Astyanax mexicanus: one gene and its partners. Each later gene encodes a partner of the first gene's protein in a complex. Links are inferred from orthologs where the notes say so. Each region holds a gene or a part of one and is shown in the gene's direction. Other genes may lie near its edges.

Region 1 (7,098 bases):
TTAGTTAGCTAGGTTAAATGTGTGTTAGTTAGCTAGGTTAAATGTGTGTTAGTTAGCTGGGTTAAATGTGTGTTAGTTAGCTTGGTTAAATGTGTGTTAGTTAGCTTGGTTAAATGTGTGTTAGTTAGCTTGGTTAAATGTGTGTTAGTTAGCTAGGTTAAATGTGTGTTAGTTAGCTTGGTTAAATGTGTGTTAGTTAGCTTGGTTAAATGTGTGTTAGTTAGCTAGGTTAAATGTGTGTTAGTTAGCTTGGTTAAATGTGTGTTAGTTAGCTTGGTTAAATGTGTGCTAGTTAGCTGGGTTAAATGTGTGTTAGTTAGCTGGGTTAAATGTGTGTTAGTTAGCTGGGTTAAATGTGTGTTAGTTAGCTTGGTTAAATGTGTGTTAGTTAGCTGGGTTAAATGTGTGTTAGTTAGCTAGGTTAAATGTGTGTTAGTTAGCTAGGTTAAATGTGTGTTAGTTAGCTAGGTTAAATGTGTGTTAGTTAGCTGGGTTAAATGTGTGTTAGTTAGCTTGGTTAAATGTGTGTTAGTTAGCTTGGTTAAATGTGTGTTAGTTAGCTTGGTTAAATGTGTGTTAGTTAGCTAGGTTAAATGTGTGTTAGTTAGCTAGGTTAAATGTGTGTTAGTTAGCTGGGTTAAATGTGTGTTAGTTAGCTTGGTTAAATGTGTGTTAGTTAGCTGGGTTAAATGTGTGTTAGTTAGCTTGGTTAAATGTGTGTTAGTTAGCTTGGTTAAATGTGTGTTAGTTAGCTTGGTTAAATGTGTGTTAGTTAGCTTGGTTAAATGTGTGTTAGTTAGCTAGGTTAAATGTGTGTTAGTTAGCTAGGTTAAATGTATGTTAGTTAGCTAGGTTAAATGTTTGTTAGTTAGCTTGGTTAAATGTGTGTTAGCTAGCTAGGTTAAATGTGTGTTAGTTAGCTAGGTTAAATGTGTGTTAGTTAGCTAGGTGAGGTGTGTTAGTTAGCTAGGTTAAATGTGTGTTAGTAGCTAGGTTAAATGTGTGTTAGTTAGCTTGGTTAAATGTGTGTTAGCTAGCTAGGTTAAATGTGTGTTAGTTAGCTAGGTTAAATGTGTGTTAGTTAGCTAGGTTAAATGTGTGTTAGTTAGCTAGGTGAGGTGTGTTAGTTAGCTAGCTAAGTTGTGTAGCTAGTTTGTATGTGTGTTAGTTGTTTTTTTTTGTGTTAGTAAGCTAGCTACGTTAGCTAGTTTAGATGTCGGTTAGTTAGCTAGGTTAAATAATCCTCAACTATTAGTAATTAGTTACCATGTTTCTCAGTTTATAATACTGTGATATAATCTGCATTAACTTCTTAAGAAGAACACAGCAACTCTTCAGTTATTAGTAAAGGGTTACCATGTTCTGCTGTTCAATTCTGAGAAAGTTGTGTTATGTAACACGATTTCCAACAAAATAAGGATGTAGGACACAGCCTACAGTAAAGGTTTATGAGAGTTATCACTTCTACTGAGCACAGGAGGACTGAAGTGGAGCACAATTTTATTTTACACACCTGTAACACTCACAGAACATTACAAAAATGTGGATTAATCAGATTACTGCACCTTCCAGTGTTTAACATTTGGAAGATATTGATGATTTTAAGATAAGTAAGGTTAAAATATGACAAATGGTGTCACTGGTTCTATTATCACCACTGATATTAGAGAATAACCTGCAGCGGCAGATAAACACACTGTGAAATTACCGTAATTACCCTAATAATGCGCACAGTGCGCTCTGTGATACTGCAAAAAGAAGATGAAGATGAAATTGTATAAGGTTGGTGCTTAATGTTAAAGCAGTGATCATTAAAACAAAATGTATTACAGTCATTATTAAGGTCTTAGATGCTTTCTGGAGAACATATGACCCATTTTTACATGTATAAAATTTGTGTCTTTTTGTCATTGTTAAACAGAAAACTTTTGATTAGTGGCCTGACTTGTTAGTTTGAAATTACCTGCTAAATAAAAGACTTGTCCAGAATTCCGAATCTCTCACGAATGTCAGACATAAAACTAACTTTACCGCAGTACTCGGTGGATCTGTTTTGGTAGCAAATAATATTTTATATCAGTATTGGAAGAGCACAAACATGCCAGATGTTATTTGTATAATATGCAGAACATCTTAATGACACTAAATGGATGCAATGCTCATTTCTCCCAGCAAGAAGATCTAAACACACCTTCTTTCAGGATAATGGAAAAATTATATGATCATTATTGTAATAACAACTATATATTTTTTATTGAAAAAACTTGTTTGATAGAAAAGTTCACACTATTTTCATTCTTCATTAATGACATATATAATATGCAATAACTTTTCTATAAATGAATTTTATATTACTTTAATTTTCTGTTATTTAAAGAGGTAAAATCACTGAAACTAAAACAATAGTGTTTTATTAATATAATAGCATTAGTAGTTTTTTTATTAATGATTATAATAGTCACTGACAGAGCGATGTTCGTGTGAACAGCTAACCTGTTCTCCTAAACACCTCAAGTTACTAATGAATGTGTTATAGGTGGAGTTTCTGCAGATCTTCGCTATCTCAAGCTATTAACCCTGTTAGCTAACAGGAAGCTGGTCTCAGCAAGCCCCAGTGCCTAGCTTTGCTAGCTTTAGCGTATTAGTTCTTATAAAGTAGCGCTTAGGTCCGGTAGCTTTAGCCTTTAAGCTCTTATGAGTATTTTAGAAAACATTGCCACATTTTAAAAGTGATGCAAAAAATTTTTTTAGCTGTATTGTGGAGAAAAATCTCTCTGACACACATGTTGCATTGCTTCATTATTTATTGCTCATATTTTTCCAAGAGCTGATTGGGCTGAGCAGTGTGCCTCTGATAGCGATCAGACACAGATGATTAGATGTTACCAGGGGGCGTAATTACTGATCGAGTGATTTAAATATTGTGAGTGTATGTAATGCAATTTAATGTAATGCAATATTATGTCTGGAGCCCATAAAGGGACATCATGTAAAAATAAAAGCATGACCATGCCTTATTAAGGCGTGGGAACGAGATCCTAAGGCGTGGGAACTGGATAATTAAGGAGTGGGGATGAGATCATTAAGGCATGGGAACGAGTTCATTTAATCTAGCTGAGAATAATAAAGCTTGCTTTTCTGTAAATTAATGCTCATGAAGAAACTGTATATTACATATTTAATCCAAATATAATCTTTAGTAAGAAAATGGAGAGTGAACTGGTTTATTTTTATTCTAAATAAAGAAAAATAAGGAAATTAAGAAATTATGTTGATATTTTGGAATAAAGTAAAAGACACTTAATTTGCATACTAAAAGCTGATTGGCTTAGACGCATACAGTAGAGCTGCTCGCTTTGTTAGCTGTGAAACAAAAGGACCTTTTGTTCACACCTTAATAGCACTGTTTTAATTAATTCATTCCCACGCCTTAATGATCTTATTTCCACACCTTAATTATCTTGTTCCCATTCCTTGGGATCTTGTTCCCACACGTTAATAAGTTGTGGTCGTGTCTTAATGATATCATTCCCACATCTTAATTATCCTGTTTCCACGCATTAGTATCTCATTCCCACGCATAAGTATCTCGTTCCCACACCTTAATCATCTCTTTTTTACATGATGTCATGTTAGGGGCTCAGTAGTAATGTAATGTATTAAAGTGTTATTGTGCGCTGTTAATTTGGAATCACTATACCAATTTAAATTAATTTACCAAGTTAATTAAGGCACCAAGTTGGCTGTCCCCCACTCAAACATACAAGTATATACTATAATTTTAATTGACACCACTTATATACATATAATTGCATTTTACATCTCTTGCATTAATTATTTATTAAGTATCATTAATTATCTTGCATTAATTTAAATATCCACTATAAAAATTCGCGTCTGAAAAAAAAAACCCAAATGCGATTAATCGCAGTTAATCACAGAATTTTGTTGTGATTAATCGAATTATTTTTTTTAGCGTCCTGCTGCAGTTTCTCTGCTCCGCCTGTGGGGGCGCTGCCGCGTGTGAGCTCGCGGGGCCTCTCGCGCTCGGCGGTAAAGCAGCGCAGCGCGCGGCGAGGCGCGGATTGCAGCGAGTGGAGCGGCGCGAGGATGGCGGCGACCGGTGCGGGAACAGCGGGGGGAGCGGGGTCCGGCGGGGCCGGGACTGGAACCGGCGGGGCGGCGGGAGCCGCGGGTGCCGCGGTAGGCAGGAAGAAGGACGGCGGACCGGCGGGGAAGTTCTGGGAGAGCGGGGAGACCGTGGCGCAGCTGGAGGCTGTGCGGCAGTGGATCAGCAAGCACTACAAGAAGGTTAGCGGCTAATGCTAATGCTAACGGTCTGTGTAAAACCCGTGCTGGAGCTAATGCTAGTGTAGCTAATGCTAACGTAGCTAACGCTAATGCGGCCCGTGGCGCGCGCTCACACACAATAACACAATAGAGCTCGCGAGGAGCTAAATCACACACTAACCCGCTGAAACACACAGTTTTACAGCGTTATTCGCGTTTAATCAGCATTTAATCAGTTTAAACCGCGCACAACTCTTTTATCTATTAGTTTATGGTCGGTAATAGTTTGTTTTTTTATGTGTTTTAAAGCGTAAATCTGCTTAAAAACGAGCTAAAGTACGCTAAAGCTAAGCTAAGCTAACAGTGTTTTGGTGTGTAGTGGCGGCTAAGCTAACGGCTGTTACTCTATCTAACCTGGTTTATTATAATTTATTCAAGTTTAATCCACTTTAAATCCTGAAATAATATGAAATAAGCTGATATAACGCTGCCTGGGCTGTTTTATATCCAGTGTGAATTAAATATCTGCTGGTTTTAGGGGTGTTTATGATGGTAGACGGTTTGATTCATTGTGTGGGTGAAGTTTGTTTCTCTGTTTCTGGGGTTTAAATATATAATAATAATATTTATCACAATATAACCGGTCTGATTGTTTGTTTTTTAGTTCTGTTAGACGAGTTAAAGTAATTTAGCCGTGCTGGTAACTAATTAATGAAGGTTAATCCGGGTTAAAACAATAGTTTAGATATTAGACGACAGTTAGTATAGAAAATAATGCAAGAAAAAAATCAGAAAATGTGAAATTTAGAATGTGAGGTGCATAAATGTTGGTGAAAAAATCCCTACATTTACTTTTTTTTAAGTATTTAGCAGACCATATCCTCAGCGACTTACAGAAGTGTTTTGTTGTTTACTTTAAAAATATCCACTACTACATTACTATGTCATGTAAGTATTAAAGTAGTAAAGTATTCGTGAATATGGCCTCTGTATCACGCTTGCAGTAGTAAAGTAAAACTATCCTTTACCTCTTAAACACATTAATTAATGGCTTTTAGTTTTTTGTTTGTGGAAGCCATATTTAAAAACCCTAATTTAAACAATGGTTTGTAACCTCCACTTGAACTCTAATATTAGAATTACTGAGTGCCAAGTAGGAAATTTTAACTGGAATGCCCCCTGATTTTCTATGTAAAACACTGACCTATGGCTCACTATATATCTGAATTTTAAACATTTATTCATTTTGTTTGTTAAAAAAAAAACTAACTTTTGAGTTCCATGTTCGATCTCCTAATATTCAGTTTTTGATGTATTTTTTTTTTAAACCTTTTCAGTATTGGTATTGAGATACTTATGCAGGTATAATAATAAGTCAGACATTTGGTATTCCATTCCATTACATTAATAATATCTGGTTTAGTGAACACATTGTCTGAACATAGCAAACAAGCTAACTACTTCTAACCTCATTTCCTTCTTCCCCTCCTTTACTCCTCTATCCCATTATTCCCCTTTAACCTCCTTTAGACCCTGTCTAAAGATGTTTTACCTTTAACTTCTATAACTTTTCTTTTACTGTACTTCACTATTGTAAGTCGCTTTGGACAAAGGCGTCTGCAAAATGCAATATAATGTAAAGTAATATACACATAGCTTATTAAAACTTTATGGCTGCCGGTTCTGAACGTATGGTTTTGTATTCGTATTTTCTGCAGCATGTCCAGGCCGACTCTCCATCCTGTAAGACTCTGGCAGGGCTGGTGGTGCAGCTGCTCCAGTTCCAGGAGGACGCTTTTGGACGAAGAGTGAGCAACCCGGCCCTCACCAAACTGCCCGTAAGTGCTTTTCTGCAGACGCTAATTCCACGCTGTTTATCGTACATTTCTTTCCTTGTGTGGCACGATAAACTCAGGTCTGCAGAGTTAGCTGAAGTGATGCTTTATTGTTATTAGGGTTGCACAAAAATCTGAACTATACTGGGTATTCTAGATGGTTTACACAGAGTTTTGCAGACTTGTTTATCGTATGCTTGAAAAAAAAAAAACAGTGTTGCTGGCTGCGTTACTACAGGGTTCCCGCAAATGTCTTAAAGTCTTAAAATGTCTAAAATGCAATACCTTAAAACATTTAAATGCATTACACTAAATTATTTCATTCAGAAGTCAGTACTGAAGCCTGCATGAGCACTGCTCTACAATTTGTCTATAAAATATCTACACTGGCTGTGCTACTTTTAAAATCCAGTGGTTTAAGCTTATATATATATATATATATATAATGTGTATATACACACTCACACACACACACAATAGATCTATTCTAATTTAATAGAGGGTTAAATTTCGATAAATGTGAAAATTCATAAACTATTTTCTTGAGAAACCTTTCACTTTAATGTTTGTGTACAGTTGGTTGAAAGCTAAAAATGAAGGTGTATATAACATGTTGGCAACTATAATCAGGATTTAAATTAATTTTTTCTTCAGTCAGAAATGACTGACCTGTCCTCCGCTCTTTGCTTACGCCCACTGGTTCCTTGGCCTGCACTAGATGGATTGTGACCTCAGGTGTTCAAACATTGCAGCTGCATAACATTTCTTAAACAGAAGATGAAATTGTGTTTTTCCACAATGCACATTGTCAATTTTTTTTCATGGTGATTTCAGCGCAAACGTCCTGTTAATAGCAGGGTTCGTACGGCCATGGAAAAACTTTGAAGGTTTTCCAGACCTGAATTAGTTTTGGAGAAATTAAAATACCCAGAAACCTTTGAAAAAGTCATGGAAATTTGGTCTACAAAACTTG
Region 2 (7,865 bases), on another chromosome or scaffold:
TAATGTTGAGCAGAGGCCTTTCAACCTGATCAGTGCTTAAATTCACATGTAAATCTAGTGAACTTTGTAGGATATTCATTAAGTGAGTTAGAACTAGTCAAAAGGTGTCTACATGTTATTGGTATTGATCAGGTGGCTTCAACCAGAATGTTCACAAAGTGGTATTCAGATTGACCTTTGAACCTTTGCAGAACAAGCTGAAATGTTTGACCAAACAAGTTTAAATTAACACAAAGGAGTGAATGTTCTGATATGACATGTAATGTCAAGTTATTCTTAATCTAGTTCTGTATTAAATGGCGCTTCATCAGAGTGATATTGTACAGAGGTCTTTAACATTGTGAGATTACAGCAAATACTGCAGAGTTACAGCAATTTAGGTTAGAAATTCCAAGGACGCACAGATTGCTTGATGCCTGGAGAGTATTGTATGTGAAATTTTCACAAATGTTTTTAATGAACATTTACCTAGAGACTCTACAGTGTGCAGCAAGACTGAAATGGAGGTGATAGGCCAAATATCCAGAGAGTAGTTTCAATATAGCTATTTTCAAACAATTAGCAATTATGAATGAACAAAGCACTTTTTAAACATAGTTGTATTGAGAAATTTGTCAGAGCCACTGTACTAAATATGGCAAAAACAATTAGATGTCAAAATAGTACAGCATGATTGACATATACTCGTTTTTTTGGAACAGCGCCCCCCAGTGGGCGGATTGTTTCAGCACTTTGCAGGTCACTACAGTGTCTCCACCTGAACATAACTGCCAAATATAATCCAGATTGGGCAACATTCAGCCTGCCAAAATGTCTGCTGAATGCTGATTGGCTGATGGTGTTCAGCCATGTTGATTGATTAAGTTGCCCTTTGAACATCCTTTAGAGGCTGTATGATAGATTCTGCATGCAAAGTTTCAACTTGCTAGGTTGCACGGTTGCTGAGAAACAGTGCTCCAAATTTACCTCTTGAAGTGAATGGGGCATATATCCGGAAGGACTAATTTGCATATGGCGGCCATATTGTTTACATATTTCAACTTTTTCTTAATGAATATTGAAGCGCATGCTCTCACGAGTGTTTTGATACCAAACATGCCAGGATTGGTCAAAATTCCTAGGACTAGTTTGCAAAAGTAGGTTTTGCATATTATGCAAATTAGCAAAAAATCTATATAGACGGAAGTGCATGGTCCAAATTGGAAAGTTGTTGGTATTGACCCAAGGAATCCATCAAAAAAAGAATTTTGAATGTAGGTCTTATGGTTTTTGAGTTATTCAGAAAATTGTGAAAAATGAATTTCCTTGTTTATAGCGCCACCACTTGACCAATCGGTGCCATTTTTGTTGTCCACCGAGATCTACCTACCAAGTTTAATTTCTCTATGACTTACGGTTTAGGCTGCACAACTGTTTTTTCAGGAGAAAAAGAATAATAATAAGAAGAAGAAGAAGAAGAAGAAGAAGAAGAAGAAAAATCTTAGCAAAAACAATAGGGTTCTACGCACCTTCGGTGCTTGAACCCTAATAATGAAGTCATGGGCTTGGCTTAGTAAAGCACTGGAAAGAGATAAGTAAGTTGTGGGCATGGCTTAATAAGAAACAAATAAAATAATGAAGTCATGGGCTTGGCTTAGTAAGGCAGAGATATGAGATAATTAATGTGTGGGCATGACTTTGAAAGACAGATATGAAATAGTTAAATCATGGGCATGACATAGTAAGGCATGGGAATTAGATAATTATTTTGTGGGCATGGGAAAAAGACAAAGTCATGGGTATGGCTTAGTAAGGCAGAGATATGAGATAATTAATTTGTGGGCATGACTTTGAAACACAGATATGAAATAGTTAAATCATTGGCATGACTAAGTAGGGCATAGATATAAAATAGTTAAGTTGTGGGCATGACTTAGTGTGGCATGGGACTGCAGTAATTAAGTCATGGGCGTGAATTAGTAACACACAAAAAATAGATAACTAAGTTGTGGGCATGACTTAGTAAGGCATAGGAACAAAATAATTAAGTCATGGGCAAGAATTAGTAAGGCATGGGAACGAGATAATTAAATTGTGGGCATGACTTTGAAAGAAAGATATAAAATAGTTAAATCATGGGTATGACTTAGTAAGGCATGGGAATCAGATAATTATTTTGTGGGCAATGAGCATGACTTAATAAGACATGGAGAGGAGATGATTAAGTTGTGGCCACAATTTAGTATGTGGAAACCAGATCTTAGACTTACAACTTAATTATTTGTGCCTTAACGCGAAAGGTCAAATTATCTTAAAAAAAACAACCCTGTTATCTTATAAAAGCATTTTGTATTATCTTGAGACTACAATAAAAAATATTTGTGATGCGGGATTGGATTCTTTCAGGATTTTCATGTGATTTTGCCATTTTTACGAAATGACTTTTTTTCTTAAACATTACAGTTAAAATTGTCGTCGCCTCTTTTTTTGTTGTTGTTGCTCTGTTTCACTATTTTCTATATTTTGATATTTGACTGTACCCAGACAGCAGGCGACTCGGATCCGGATCTGTTTTACCTCCAGCAGATCCTTGAGAATACCGGTGTATAACTGGAGGTCAGTCGAGTCATGTTGTGCTGTAGTGCTGTAGAGAGGAGTCAGTGTGTACTGCGGTGGTGTTGGCGATAGAGGGCGCTGTTCACCGCGGCTTAATGACTCCCCGGAGGACGATCAGCACTCTGCTCAACTGTCTTTCTCTGTCCATTCATTCAGGACAGTCACTCTGTGCACTGTCTGAAAGTCAGAATGACACTTTAATCAATGAAGAGCAATAAAAATAATTTATACTGATACTCAAATTTGAAGAAATGCGGTTTTTAAACCAAATTAATAATCGAAATTTAACTAACACACTAATCATAGCTACACTAGTTACATAGATATGGAATAAGCCAATACATTATGCATCAACATCTGCATAGACAGAAATAAAGAACATTTATAACCTATTAAATGTATTTTTATTATACACGTTTTAAACGACTTATGAGGTCCGTAGTATTTATGGACTAAAGAAGCTGGTGGGCAAAAACGGGTTAGCTAGAAACAAAAGCCAAAACAAACACACACAGTATAAATTAATGAATGTTTGTTTATTGGTTATTTATGTATATTTCTGAATAAAAAAAAGCACAGTAGGGTGAATGTGGTCGAATCTCGAAGCTGAATCTTCTCTCAATTTTCAGATTTGTCAATTTTTGTATCTTTCAATACAGATCTGAACTTGCAAAATAATCATATATATATATATATATATATATATATATATATATATATATATATATATATATATATATATATATATATATATATATAGTAAGGGGCAGAGATAAAAAAAAAACTACAATTGGAAAAATGGATGAAAACTTATTTATTGTACACCGCACTTCATTTTTAAAAAATAATGAGTTTTTACATCCAATTTAATATTTTTGCATTTTACCTCAAATGGTCAGTAAATGTAATTAATAAACGTTACACTGGCCGAATGTGAAAGCCTGTAATGATCTGTGGTGGCGGGGTGCAGTAGCTGTGCTCGGGCTGCTGTAATGTATTATAAATCTAACGCTGGTTCACAGTTAACAGCAGCAGCAGTCTAATGGTGGCGGCGGGTCACTGAGTTCAGCCTCCCGCTCGGGTTTCAGACTACACAGATAAACGCAGGACGGCTATAACCCGCCGCACACTCGAATAATAAGAAGTATGTTTACCTCAGAAGCTTAATGACTGAGATAACAAAGCAGTAAATGCCCAGAGAGCCGCGCAGCAACTGAATTAGCTACAGACCTGACTGACATATTAAGCTAAGCGGCTAACGCCAACTAGCTTAGCTTAAGAAATGCTAGTGAGCTAACCGTCGCGGGTGAAGGTCGGCGGTTTAAACGCGGTTTTACACCGAAAACCAAACCAAACACGCCGATATCTAAACCGGTTTATCCCACAGCGCCTCTTAAACTAAACACAGCGGCGGGCTGGATGTCAGAGGATGGGTTTTCGGCGGTGTGTGTGACACAATATGTGTGTGTAAGTGTGTGTGAGAGCTGAGACAGCAGCGGACAGGTTACAGCGGATCTGTAGCCGAGCAGTAGTCGGATCATGTAGAGAATCGTATTCAATGTTTCCACTCCACCTTAAATAAAGTAACAGTTACACTTTAGACACATGTAGCTACTGAAGGAGCAACATATTAATGTAACCGATGCGATATTTAAGGTGGAATTGAAGAGCTGCGGGCAGGTGAAGTTAGTTCATTAGCTGCCGTCTCCAGTGGAGCTGCTGTTTCCGCGGAGCTGCGGCGCGGCTCGCCGGTGCTAGCTAATGTTCCCCGGTGTAACGCAGCCAATTCGCGTTAGAAAAAAGCCGTTTAACGACAGATTTTCCCATTGCCGAAAGCCGTTTCAGTTCAGTCCTCCTCCGTGTCAGTGTGACAAAATGGGGTCTTTGGTGTTGAGCTCCGCCATTTTGTGACAGAGCGCGCTCCGCTCAAAGGGGAGCGTGTAATGGTTGAATGTAGTAAAGCCGTCAGTTAGAGAGATACACGCCTGGCAGCGAGGAGGAGGAGATACCAGGGATCAGCGGCAATTTACACTTACACCAACAGACAGCACTCACTGCTCACCACTGAACACACACTGTTCAAGAACAAACACCACAGCGCGGAGCCCAAAACTCCCCACTACTCAGGTGTTTCTACCTGTACCTGTATGTTTAAAATACATGCACTCATGTTTTTGTAGGGCTGCCCAGATGAACTGTAGCCCAAAATATTAAATTAATTACATAAAAGTAAGACGAGCAGAGGCGAGTTGATGAGGTCTTTATTTTAAACCCAGTTGAGTCAGACTCTTAATGACAAACAGGTTAGGGTTAAATAACAATACATATTGTTGTAAATTATTCAAAACTGTTTAATCTCTATAATTTATTTTTTTGTTTTCATGCAATTGTTTTTACAAGTTTGTAAAAATGAATAACAATAACAGCAACAATTATTATTATTTCCATTCTCATTTAGCAAACTAATCAACTTTTATTTAGTTATATATTTTATTTATTATTTATTTTGTCCCTGTCAGTGAAAATATTTTTTTTCCCCACAGAGATGTATGTAAACTATAAGACCTGTTTTGGTCAGGCAGCAGCGCTGTAACCTGCCGGGGGCTGATGTATTTTTACTCGTCTGGTGAATTTGGTGTCTCCCCCCTCCCCCACAGACGCTCTCCGCTCTGTTCAGTTTTAACGGATCTCGGAAGTTTCAGATGAGCCCTTAAAAAAAGAAATAAAAAAAGGAAAAAACTGAAAACACTGTCTGTCTATTGTTCCGCCGAGGCGCCTCGGCCGGTGCACTACCTGTGCGGGCGGCGCGGGGGCGCTGCAGAGCGGCCAGGGCCCGCGGCCTCGCTCGGGTCTTTTTGTTTGAGAACTGGATCCCGCTTCACAGTGTGTGTGTGAGAGAGTGTGTATGCCGCCGCGTCTGTAGCACACTGTCAAAACCACTCCAAAACCAACACGTCCAGCAGCCAGCACGGTCTTCATTTTTACATCTCGCGCCATGGCAACGCTGGTGTGCCGTTGAATCCGAGCGCTATTCCGATGTTTTGGCCGAAGTTAGAGCGGGCTCGGATCAGGTCTGTTTTCTGTGCGGCTCCTCTCAACAGTCCTCATTAGCTGAGAGCTGGCGCTCTGCTCTCCCTTCGCCGTTTCTTTAACTTTTTAAACACTCAGCCTCGCGAATGACTGAGCGCCGCCGGAGCATGGGATCCCCGGCGTCGTAGGAAGCGAAGCAGTCCGGGTTTTGACCGCTTTTGAGGATCCGAAACGATGGCAAATTCGACGGGAAAAAGCCTGCCCGAGCAGCGGAGGAAAGGACTAGCTTTCCTGGACGAGCTGCGGCAATTTCACCAAAGCAGAGGGTGAGAGGAGGGGGGATGCCTTTTATTCGTCCAAATGTTAAACTTCAAGCTGCTTAAAGTCGTCCGGAGCGGCCGGAGCGTCCAGTCCGTCCTCGGTTAACCGTGTGCTTCTTTCTCTTTCTCCAGGTCGCCGTTTAAGAAGGTCCCGCTGGTGGGTGGAAAGGAGCTGGACCTGGGCGCTCTCTACTCGAGAGTCGTCTCTTTAGGTGGATTCGCTAAGGTTAGTGCGACCAAAAGTGCTCATAAATGCCTCTCTCCGGAGCTCTCGGCGGGGCTTCTTGCCGGCTCCTGTGGCCGCCGGCTCGGCCTGGAGGTTCTGGCGTATTTAACCGATTTCCAGCCCGAGTTTGGGGCTATAAAATGGCCTTGTGTGGTGAAGCCTGTGTGTGAGCGAGAGCGAGGGAGAGGGGGAGAGAGAGAGCGGGTATGAATTGAAAGTCCGGGATGTTAGCGGCTCCGCTGCTCCGCCGGGGAGTGCGAGTGCAGTTTGAGCGACTCCAAACCAGCGGCGGAGGCTAAACATCGATTACCGGCGGGCAGCACCGCGGGCTCGGCTTTCGGCCGCGCTTTTCCACCGCGCTCGCTTGGAGGAAGCTAGTAACTCGCCATAGCCTGTGTTTGGCTTCGTGGCTCAGCTAAACCGTAGGCCTCACAGACAGGCCTGTTTTATTCAGCACTGTAAATACAACATCACACGAGCCCAAATGCCCTCCGCCGCCGCGGCTCTCCACCGCGGGGACGGGTTCGGGCTGGGGGAGCCTCGCTGTCGCGGCTCGGGATTTTTTGTTGTTTAAAAAGTGCGGTTAGCCGGACTGCTAACGGTGGTTAGCAGGCTGCCTGATTCAAACTGCTGTAGCTGGTGACCGGGCGGCAGGCAGGCGAGCACGGTCGGCTCATCAGCTCGCATGTGCTTGTCAAATCGAAGAAATGCCGACTTTATCACGAGCTTTTATATCCTGTGGATGTCCACAGACTCATGGACGCGTGTTTGTTTTGTTTATCTCCCTCTTTTGTAGGTCTCTGACAAAAACCAGTGGTCTGAACTTGGCGAAGAGTTTAATTTCCCGAGGAGTTGCTCCAACGCTGCTTTTGTTTTAAAACAGTACTACCTTCGGTAAGTCAGCGTGTTTCCCTCCTCAGCCATGTGTACACACACTCACTCACTCACACACACTCCAGCCGCTCAGCGGGCCACCGGCGCTCTCAGCTTCACACCTCGGATAAAACTCACTCATTACAACTTTTATCTTTTCGGCTCCAGGAAAGTTTTTGTGTTGTGTTCACGAGGCTCAGCTCAGGCCTTTGTCTCACTCTCTCCGTGTGCTCTTTGGTCTCCTACAGCCGGTGGGAGTTTTAGGAGCCTGAAACTTTAGCATATGGTCTGTTGTGGCTTTGTTTACAGTATAAGAGCAACACCAACAGTCCAATTCTCACACATCAGAACATCTCCCTGATGTTTTTGGTCATTTCAAACATCCAGGTTTTTAAGTACACAAGCACTGCAGTGTTTAATAAAAAAAGTATGTTTTTTACTGCTGAGAAATTAGACTACAAAAGTCCTTAAGTGAGTAAAAAAAATTAAAACTACTGTTTCCTCCTTTTTTCTTATTTAAAGTGTCTGTATGCAGTAATGTGGGTGCTGTGTCTTACATGTGGCCAATTAATTGTAATTCATTTCTCCATCTTTTTAGTATATGTTGTAATGTGAGTAGTAGGTGAGGCATTTTTCCCCCTGACCTTTTAAATAGATATAGTAATGCAAGTGTTATTACTGTGATGTGCTTTTAGTGGTTCAGAGGGGAGATGTTATACTTGCACCGTTTCAAAAACAAAAGGTGAAAAAGTATTTAGCTCTGTTATTTTTGTACCTATACCGGTATTCTGCATTTTTGCACGTGCAGAATAAAGGACTGA
Region 3 (7,360 bases), on another chromosome or scaffold:
CTGATTCAGAAACTAGAGCGGTCTCTTAATTTTTCCTGAGCTGTGTTAAGAGTGTCCAGTTTTTTCACTTCCTTTGTAAAGGTCCCACCTTTATACCAGAAGCACAGAGCGACTGAATTTGACTTTACACCAGAGGGGATGTGAGATAGAGGCCCACAGTAATGGAAATCCAACTTCTTATTGCACATCACATTTTTGTCCATATCATGCACCCCTATTCTAGAGTAGATAAAGATCAACCTTCTGGCATCATGCCTCATGCCAGGTCTGAGCAAGTATAAAGCCTTCCTTGGACAGTAGAGAAGTTATAGAGAGATATTCCAATAAAAACTACTCTTTTTTTAATACATTTAATTTCATAAGAAACAATGAATGAGCAGGTGGTCCATATATAGACAGTTTAGTCCATACAGTTTGTCTTAAAACAGCAGTTTCTGAATCATACTGATGGTAAACTGACTGCAACAGCAAGAATGGCAACTTTGTCATTTCCACTCCAAAATTCTGATACTGCACTACAGAACTTTGAAGCTGTATGACACTGCTCTCCAGTACTGTATCAGTGTGTAACCCAATTCATATATGGGCCTGTTTACACCTGCCATTGTCTCTGGATGGTATCTATATGCTTGACCGAATTCTGTTTACACTTGTATTACAATACCTCCCCGGTTTGACCAGAAGAAATACGTTTTTATTTTCCAGTATAAAAGAACAATAACACCCACACTTATCCTGTTATTTCCTATTTCTCATAAAAATTCTAAATACGCATATATATATATACACATGTTAAACAAGCCCTATGTGTAACTTCCTGTAAGGTTACTCTACCTTCTTAGTCCACCGCTGCTTTTGTGTCTTTCAGCTTGTCAACAAATGCTTGTGTACAGCTTGTCCATGAGGGAGCCTTTAAAGCACCTAACACTACTTTAAGTCAAAACATCTGTTTCTTTCTTTGGTCCGAAGCAGTTAACAAGTTTATTAACTTGGAATGTCACCGTCTTTGGTTTGTTTTGGGTTCACACATAAAAAACTGCAAATAGAACAAAATGCATCACAACAAACCATGAGAGAACTTTCTCTCTGATTATTGGTCAAACATTTCTGGGGCAGACCTAGAAAGTAAATGCATGAAAATAGTGCGGTGTTCCAGACTAGCACATATTTTAGAGCAGTGTCAAAGATAGCATTCGTCAACAGCAGTAGTAATTATCTAGATAACAAATCAGGTCAAATTCAATTCAATTTATTTGATGGTTGGGTCAGATCGAGGTCAGGCCACGTTTACACCTCAAACAATGCGTTTCGGGGGTTCGTTTGGAGCTGAGATGAGATTACCTCCTTTTCACACCAGCCAAAATAAACTGCTCTAGGGGTGCAAATAAACCAGAGTCGGCGTTAACCCGTTTAAAAAGTGCTGCTGTGTAAACAAACACCCTTAAACATACTGTAGGTTTTTCCATTTTCTATCAATGAACCAAGCAAGAGAATCAGTATTGAAAATATTCACGTGGACATTCACATGTACAGCCAATCAGAACACAGTTGACAGGATCCAGGATCCTGTGTTAGTTTAGATTAGCTTCAGGGGCTGTGTCTCAAACTGAGGTAATCTCTAATGTTTACTTTTACATTCTTTAGTCAGTTGCAATGTTCACACCTTGCACAAACATACATCCTGGGAGACCCAATCATAATTGATTGCCAAAATGTACTGCCAGTCCATCTGGCATTTGATATGCACGTCCTGTGACCACTTGTGACTGGATTTCTCACATCACTTCCGCTGGAAAAGGAAGCACCATGGAACTCACTCACAGAGGAAAAACACTCCCTCAATAGCATATGCGTGTGTGTGCAAGACTGACAAGATCAAAGCAGTGTAAAAGTTTGTGTGTGTGGGTAAGACTGAAATGATCAAAGCAGTGTAAATCAGAGTTGTGTGTGAGAGCAGATGTTTCTCAACAGGTGATTTAGACTTGGTGAGAAGCCATCACACACAGACACACACACACACACACACACACACACACACACACAGAGTGTGTGGATTTAAAATTAGCTCATTATTAGATCAGAAAAGGAACTCAGCCACAATAAACACACACTGTTCTAGATGTGTGTGTAAGAGCTGAGTTGAGGTGAGCAGGACTGTAGCCTTACATCACTACTAAAATATTTCAGACCAAACTCTCCTAGTTCTCTCACTTTCTCTCTTCCTCCCCTCTCTTTCTCCCTCTCTTTTTCTCTCTAGATGAAGTCCTTTCTAACATTCTCTTCCCTTTGCTTCCCTCTATCTTCACTCTCCCTTTTCACATATATAAAATCATTTGATGGATAGTTATACCCATGTTTTAATCCACCCCACACCCAGAGAAAGAGGGAGAAAAAGAGATAAGAGAGAGAGAGAGAAAAAGGGAGAGAGGGATGGTGATTAGTGTGTAGAGACACCGCTCCAGCTGTCACAGGACACACGCACGAACAAACATTTTGTCAGTAAGAAATAACTAAGCTGTTAAGCTGTATTTTTGAAATAGTTCGTTCCACCTTATTGCAGCAGTTACACTCTCCATTTAAGGTGGACCGAACATTTCCATTAAGACAGAAATGGTCAGATACAGATGCTCACTGTCAATCTCACCCACTCTTTAAAACACTGACCCTGTTCTAATTTGTGTGTGTTAACTACAGTACCCCCGACCCCTCCCATAGCCCCTCTCTACCTCCAGCGCTAACGTGCTAACGCTAGCCCTCGCGGGCCGCCCTCCACCGGACCCTCGGAGCGAACCGGGAGACACTCACCTTCGCCGGGACGGGGGGCTGCGCTGCTGTCCAAGCGGGTGGTGTGTGTGTGAGTGTGTGTGTGTGTGTGTGTGTGTATGTGAGTGTGAGAGAGTGTGTGTCCGGTTAGATTTCCCCCATGGCCGAACTCTCTCCGGTCCTGTCCAGTAAGAACTAAAACTTTTCCCCCCCGTGCTCCCCCGCGCAGCTGCGCCGTTGTGCGGCCCGCTCTCAGCGCAGCGCGGCCGGACTGAACCACTGCAGCGCTGCGGAGGGGGGGACGGTACAGTCTCTCGGATACGGAATCCCCCCTCAAAGACCGAGCGGAGGGGAGGTGGGGAAGGTGGTCCTGCTGGAACCGGACACCAGGGAGGAGCTTAAAAAGGAGCAACACATAAATAACAGGCCTGGGTAAATACAGACCTCACAAATAAAAGTCCTCACTCACGTTTTTAACAGTAAGTTATATTAATTAGATCAATATGTATTAGTCAATAAACCGATCAATCAATCAACCTTTATTTTGACTCGGAAGTACATCTAGGGCAACCCTCTTTTTTATGTAGCTGAGCATTTACAAATACAGGGATTGACATGATAAAGAAAATAATAACTACATTTAATAATTTAAAAATAACAGTAAATAAAAGATAAAAATAGATTTTAAAAAATCATATTAATAATAAAACTTGGTTTAATTGCTAAGAAATTAAGAAGATAAGAGTAATACAAAAAAACTGTTAATATTAAGTTAAAACTAACTTTTACATAGTACAATAAAAAATAAACATTTATAAATAAAAAACAATAATAACAATAATAATCATAAACTTTTAATAAGTTAAAATGTAATAATACAAAACAAAAAATACAAAAAGAAATAATGAAAGAAATAAAAAGGAAATAAATAACTAAGAGAGGACTAAAATAAAAATAAAAGAATAAATACGATTAAGTAAAACAGGTACAGGCTGTCTGAAGGTGGTTAGATATTAAAAGACTTACAACGACTCAGTTGTACATGTACTACTTACAAAATATTTATAAGAATCTTTTTAGGATTGTAAAAAATACATTATTTATATGTGGTCTTGTAAATTATAATGTATTTATTATTTATTCATTGTGTTTGTGTCAGTGTCCATCATTTGAACACGAATAGTCCAAATAAAATACATGGATAAAAACAAATGCTATTATTTATAAATATACACGTGTTTATTAGATATCAAAGTGCATGCATATTCATTATCTTCTATTTAAATATTTATTTAGATTACTGTATTAATTCAATGTATTTTTTGTTTTATACAGTATTGGAACCATTTATTTTCAGACAATTTTTTTAACAGAATAATAATTAAAATATACACAACATTACAAGTGCCTCTATCAGCATGTCTTAGGATTAGAGCATATGTTCTATACTAAAGTAAACCATTCATGTTTTATAGAAAACATCTATCAGTTAGCCTATCAGCTGCAGCGCGCGCGCGTGTGTGCAGTACTGCAGCCACCAACAGGGGGTGCAGTTTGACCGTTTCTAAACTCAGAACAGCTTAAGGACCGCCATGTCACTCTCACCTTCTGCATACCTCCTCATCCCTCACTTCTTTCATCCTTTTCTCTTTCATTGTTGATTTTGCAAGTTCCTCAGTATGAAACAGGACCAGATGGGGGTTCTGAGTGTGGTTCTTAGTGAATTATATAGCTTACTGTACCACCTCCAAATCCTCTCACACGCAAACACCTACACACACTCCTGTCCACACACTTACATTCTGCTGCAGAAAAGATGATCCCACCTTAGAGCCCTCTCTCTCTCTTTCTCTCTCTCTCTCTTTCTCTCTCAGCCGGCGGGTGCACGCACGCGCACACTGGCGAGCTGTTGCCGAGCTGCAGCTCTCGAAGGAAGAGCAGAGGCACGTGCACGAGCATTATTTAGCCTGTCGTGTCAGTCAGGACTTCAGGACTAATAAACAACAAATTTCTGCACACGACTCGCCTGAGGAGTGAAACTGGAGGGACTGAGCGATAGACATGAGTGGTGGAGTCTACGGTGGAGGTAAGAGAGAAACATCACTGTAACTCCATCATCACTGTAGCTCTGTCATCACTGTAGCTCAATCATTACTGTAGCTCTGTCATCACTGTAGCTCTGTCATCACTGTAACTCTGTCATCACTGTAGTTCTGTCATCACTGTAGCTCAATCATTACTGTAGCTCTGTAATCTCTGTAACTGTCATCACGGTAACTCTGTCATCACTGTAGCTCTGTCATTGTAACTCGATCATTACTGTAGCTCTGTCATCACTGTAACTCCATCATCACTGTAGCTCCATCATTACTGTATCTCCATCATCACTGTAGCTCCATAATTACTGTAGTGCTGTCCATCACTTTTACTCCATCATTACTGTAGCTCCATCGTTTGCTTCTATTATTGATTTTACCACTGTAACTCCATCATCACTTTAGCTTTGTTATCACTGTAACTGTCATAACTGTAGCTCCATCATTACTGTAGCCCTGTCATCACTTTAGCTTTGCCATCATTACTGTAACTCTGGCATCACTGTAGCTCTGCCATTATTACTGTATCTCTGGCAATACTGTAGCTCCATCATTACTGTAGCTCTGTCATCACTCTAGCTCTGCCAACATTACTGTAACTCTGGCAATACTGTAGCTACATCATTACTGTAGCCCTGTCATCACTGTAGCTATCATCACTCTACTTCTGCCACCATTACTGTAACTCTGGCATCACTGTAGCTCCATCATTATTGTAGCTCTGTCATTACTGTTATTCTCTCATCACTGCTGCTCTGTTATCACTGTTGCTCTGTTATCACTGTAGCTCTGCCATCACTGTTATTCTGTCATCACTGTAACTCCACCATCACTGTATAAAAGCCTGTTAAAGCCTCATCCCTTTCTGTCATTACTGTATCATCATTACTGTAACCCCATTCTTACTGTGGCTACATCTCTGTTAATCCATCATCACTTTAGTTATATCATTACTGTAGATCTGTCATCTCTCTCTGTCTCTCTCTTACTGTACTTCTCTCTCTCTCTCTCATTCACACTATCTTTCTTTCTCTCTCTTAGATGAGGTGGGGGCATTGGTGTTTGATATCGGCTCCTTCTCCACTAGAGCAGGTTATGCTGGTGAAGACTGCCCTAAGGTACCCTTACCCATCCATCCATATATTTATCCATCCATCTATCGTTTTAATAACATCCACTAATCCATACCTACATTTATCCACCTTCAGTGTATGAATAAGCAGAAAATATTCTGATGTAAAGCCTCACACCTTTAGATACACCTTGTTTATATCACATCTCCTGCAGGCAGACTTCCCCACCTCTTTAGGAGTGCATGTAGAGGAGGAGGGGCCTGCAGAGATGGGGGCGGAGCAAGATAACAACAGCGGGCGGACTTTCTACATGGACACCACAGCCCTTCATGTACCCCGACCTGGAGTGGAGCTGATATCACCACTGAAGAACGGCATGAGTATGAGACACACACACACACAATCAAATTCTACCATTCTGTTTGATTAGTTTCTCACTGTTTTATTACTTGGTCATCTTGGTCACCTGTCTCACCTCTCAGTGTGTCACTCATACCTTATATATCTGCCTGCCTGCAGTGCGAGTGGAGCAGGGAGAATGAGGAGCTAGCCACCTCAATGTGCTAATCAGCTAGCCATGCTAACTCTGCAGTGCAGAACAGTTTTGAGACTTTTGAACTAGAGACGGACAATTGATCGGCTATGTATTGATATTGGCAGATATTTAAAATAGCCATATTCCACTTGATACCCTTTTAGATCATATCCTCAGTTAAGGATAACAGTAGCTCTGCAAAATTCTAGAGCCTGTACATGGCTGCAGATGCTCATTATAGGCAGTGTTATGCTGGCTCCACTTTGCTTTTACTGTATCTGACTTAAGCGAAAATGTTTGTATAATATGTAAAACCAGTGAATCTTGTGGAGGAAGCAGATTAAACATTTTAACACCACTAACTTGATACCCCTCTTGAGAGTACCTCACTCGGCCCAGTACAGTGAGTATCACAGCAGAGCAGAGCTAACAAACACCACTAACAACACAGAATAGCAAACACTGCAGACCATATTTAACCCCTATTCACTACACTAACCACTACAAAAGTGCATCATGGAATAAAAAGAGGATTCTTTTGGGACAACTCCCCATACATATGTTTTCTTTATAATTTGGATGACTTTAGTATTAATCTACAATGCAGAAATGTTAAAATACTGAAAATAACCTAAAATTAAGGTGTGTCCACTTTTGACTGGTACTGTATATTGGATGTTATCGTGTATTATAGATTGGATTGTATATTAACCGCTCATACAAAAAAAACTCTCATCCAATAATAAATGTAGTCTGATTCTAAGCTTTGATATATATATATATATATATATATATATATATATATATATATATATATATATATATATATAGCTATATAAACTTGTACTAAAGCTGCATCAGTGTCTCATTACAGATGGAGGAGTTTACAGTCT

What was found. The genes of interacting proteins can lie anywhere in the genome.
Region 2: smarcc1a (region 1) and arid2 share a complex: the UniProt entries of both Homo sapiens proteins name them as parts of the SWI/SNF-B (PBAF) chromatin remodeling complex. The link is inferred for Astyanax mexicanus from reciprocal best matches to the Homo sapiens genes SMARCC1 and ARID2.
Region 3: smarcc1a (region 1) and actl6b share a complex: the UniProt entries of both Homo sapiens proteins name them as parts of the BAF complex. The link is inferred for Astyanax mexicanus from reciprocal best matches to the Homo sapiens genes SMARCC1 and ACTL6B.

Annotation. Positions count from the first base shown.
Region 1 is NC_064408.1:129,661,285-129,668,382, reverse strand, and holds the start of smarcc1a (SWI/SNF complex subunit SMARCC1), read left to right. Parts: upstream 1-4,095; 5' UTR 4,096-4,110; coding exon 4,111-4,311; intron 4,312-6,008; coding exon 6,009-6,128; intron 6,129-7,098. UniProt on the Homo sapiens protein: Involved in transcriptional activation and repression of select genes by chromatin remodeling (alteration of DNA-nucleosome topology).
Region 2 is NC_064409.1:38,200,827-38,208,691, forward strand, and holds the start of arid2 (AT-rich interactive domain-containing protein 2), read left to right. Parts: upstream 1-4,850; 5' UTR 4,851-5,859; coding exon 5,860-5,951; intron 5,952-6,077; coding exon 6,078-6,171; intron 6,172-6,967; coding exon 6,968-7,065; intron 7,066-7,865. UniProt on the Homo sapiens protein: Involved in transcriptional activation and repression of select genes by chromatin remodeling (alteration of DNA-nucleosome topology). Required for the stability of the SWI/SNF chromatin remodeling complex SWI/SNF-B (PBAF).
Region 3 is NC_064420.1:26,446,997-26,454,356, forward strand, and holds the start of actl6b (actin-like protein 6B), read left to right. Parts: upstream 1-4,345; 5' UTR 4,346-4,824; coding exon 4,825-4,849; intron 4,850-5,900; coding exon 5,901-5,977; intron 5,978-6,146; coding exon 6,147-6,312; intron 6,313-7,360. UniProt on the Homo sapiens protein: Involved in transcriptional activation and repression of select genes by chromatin remodeling (alteration of DNA-nucleosome topology).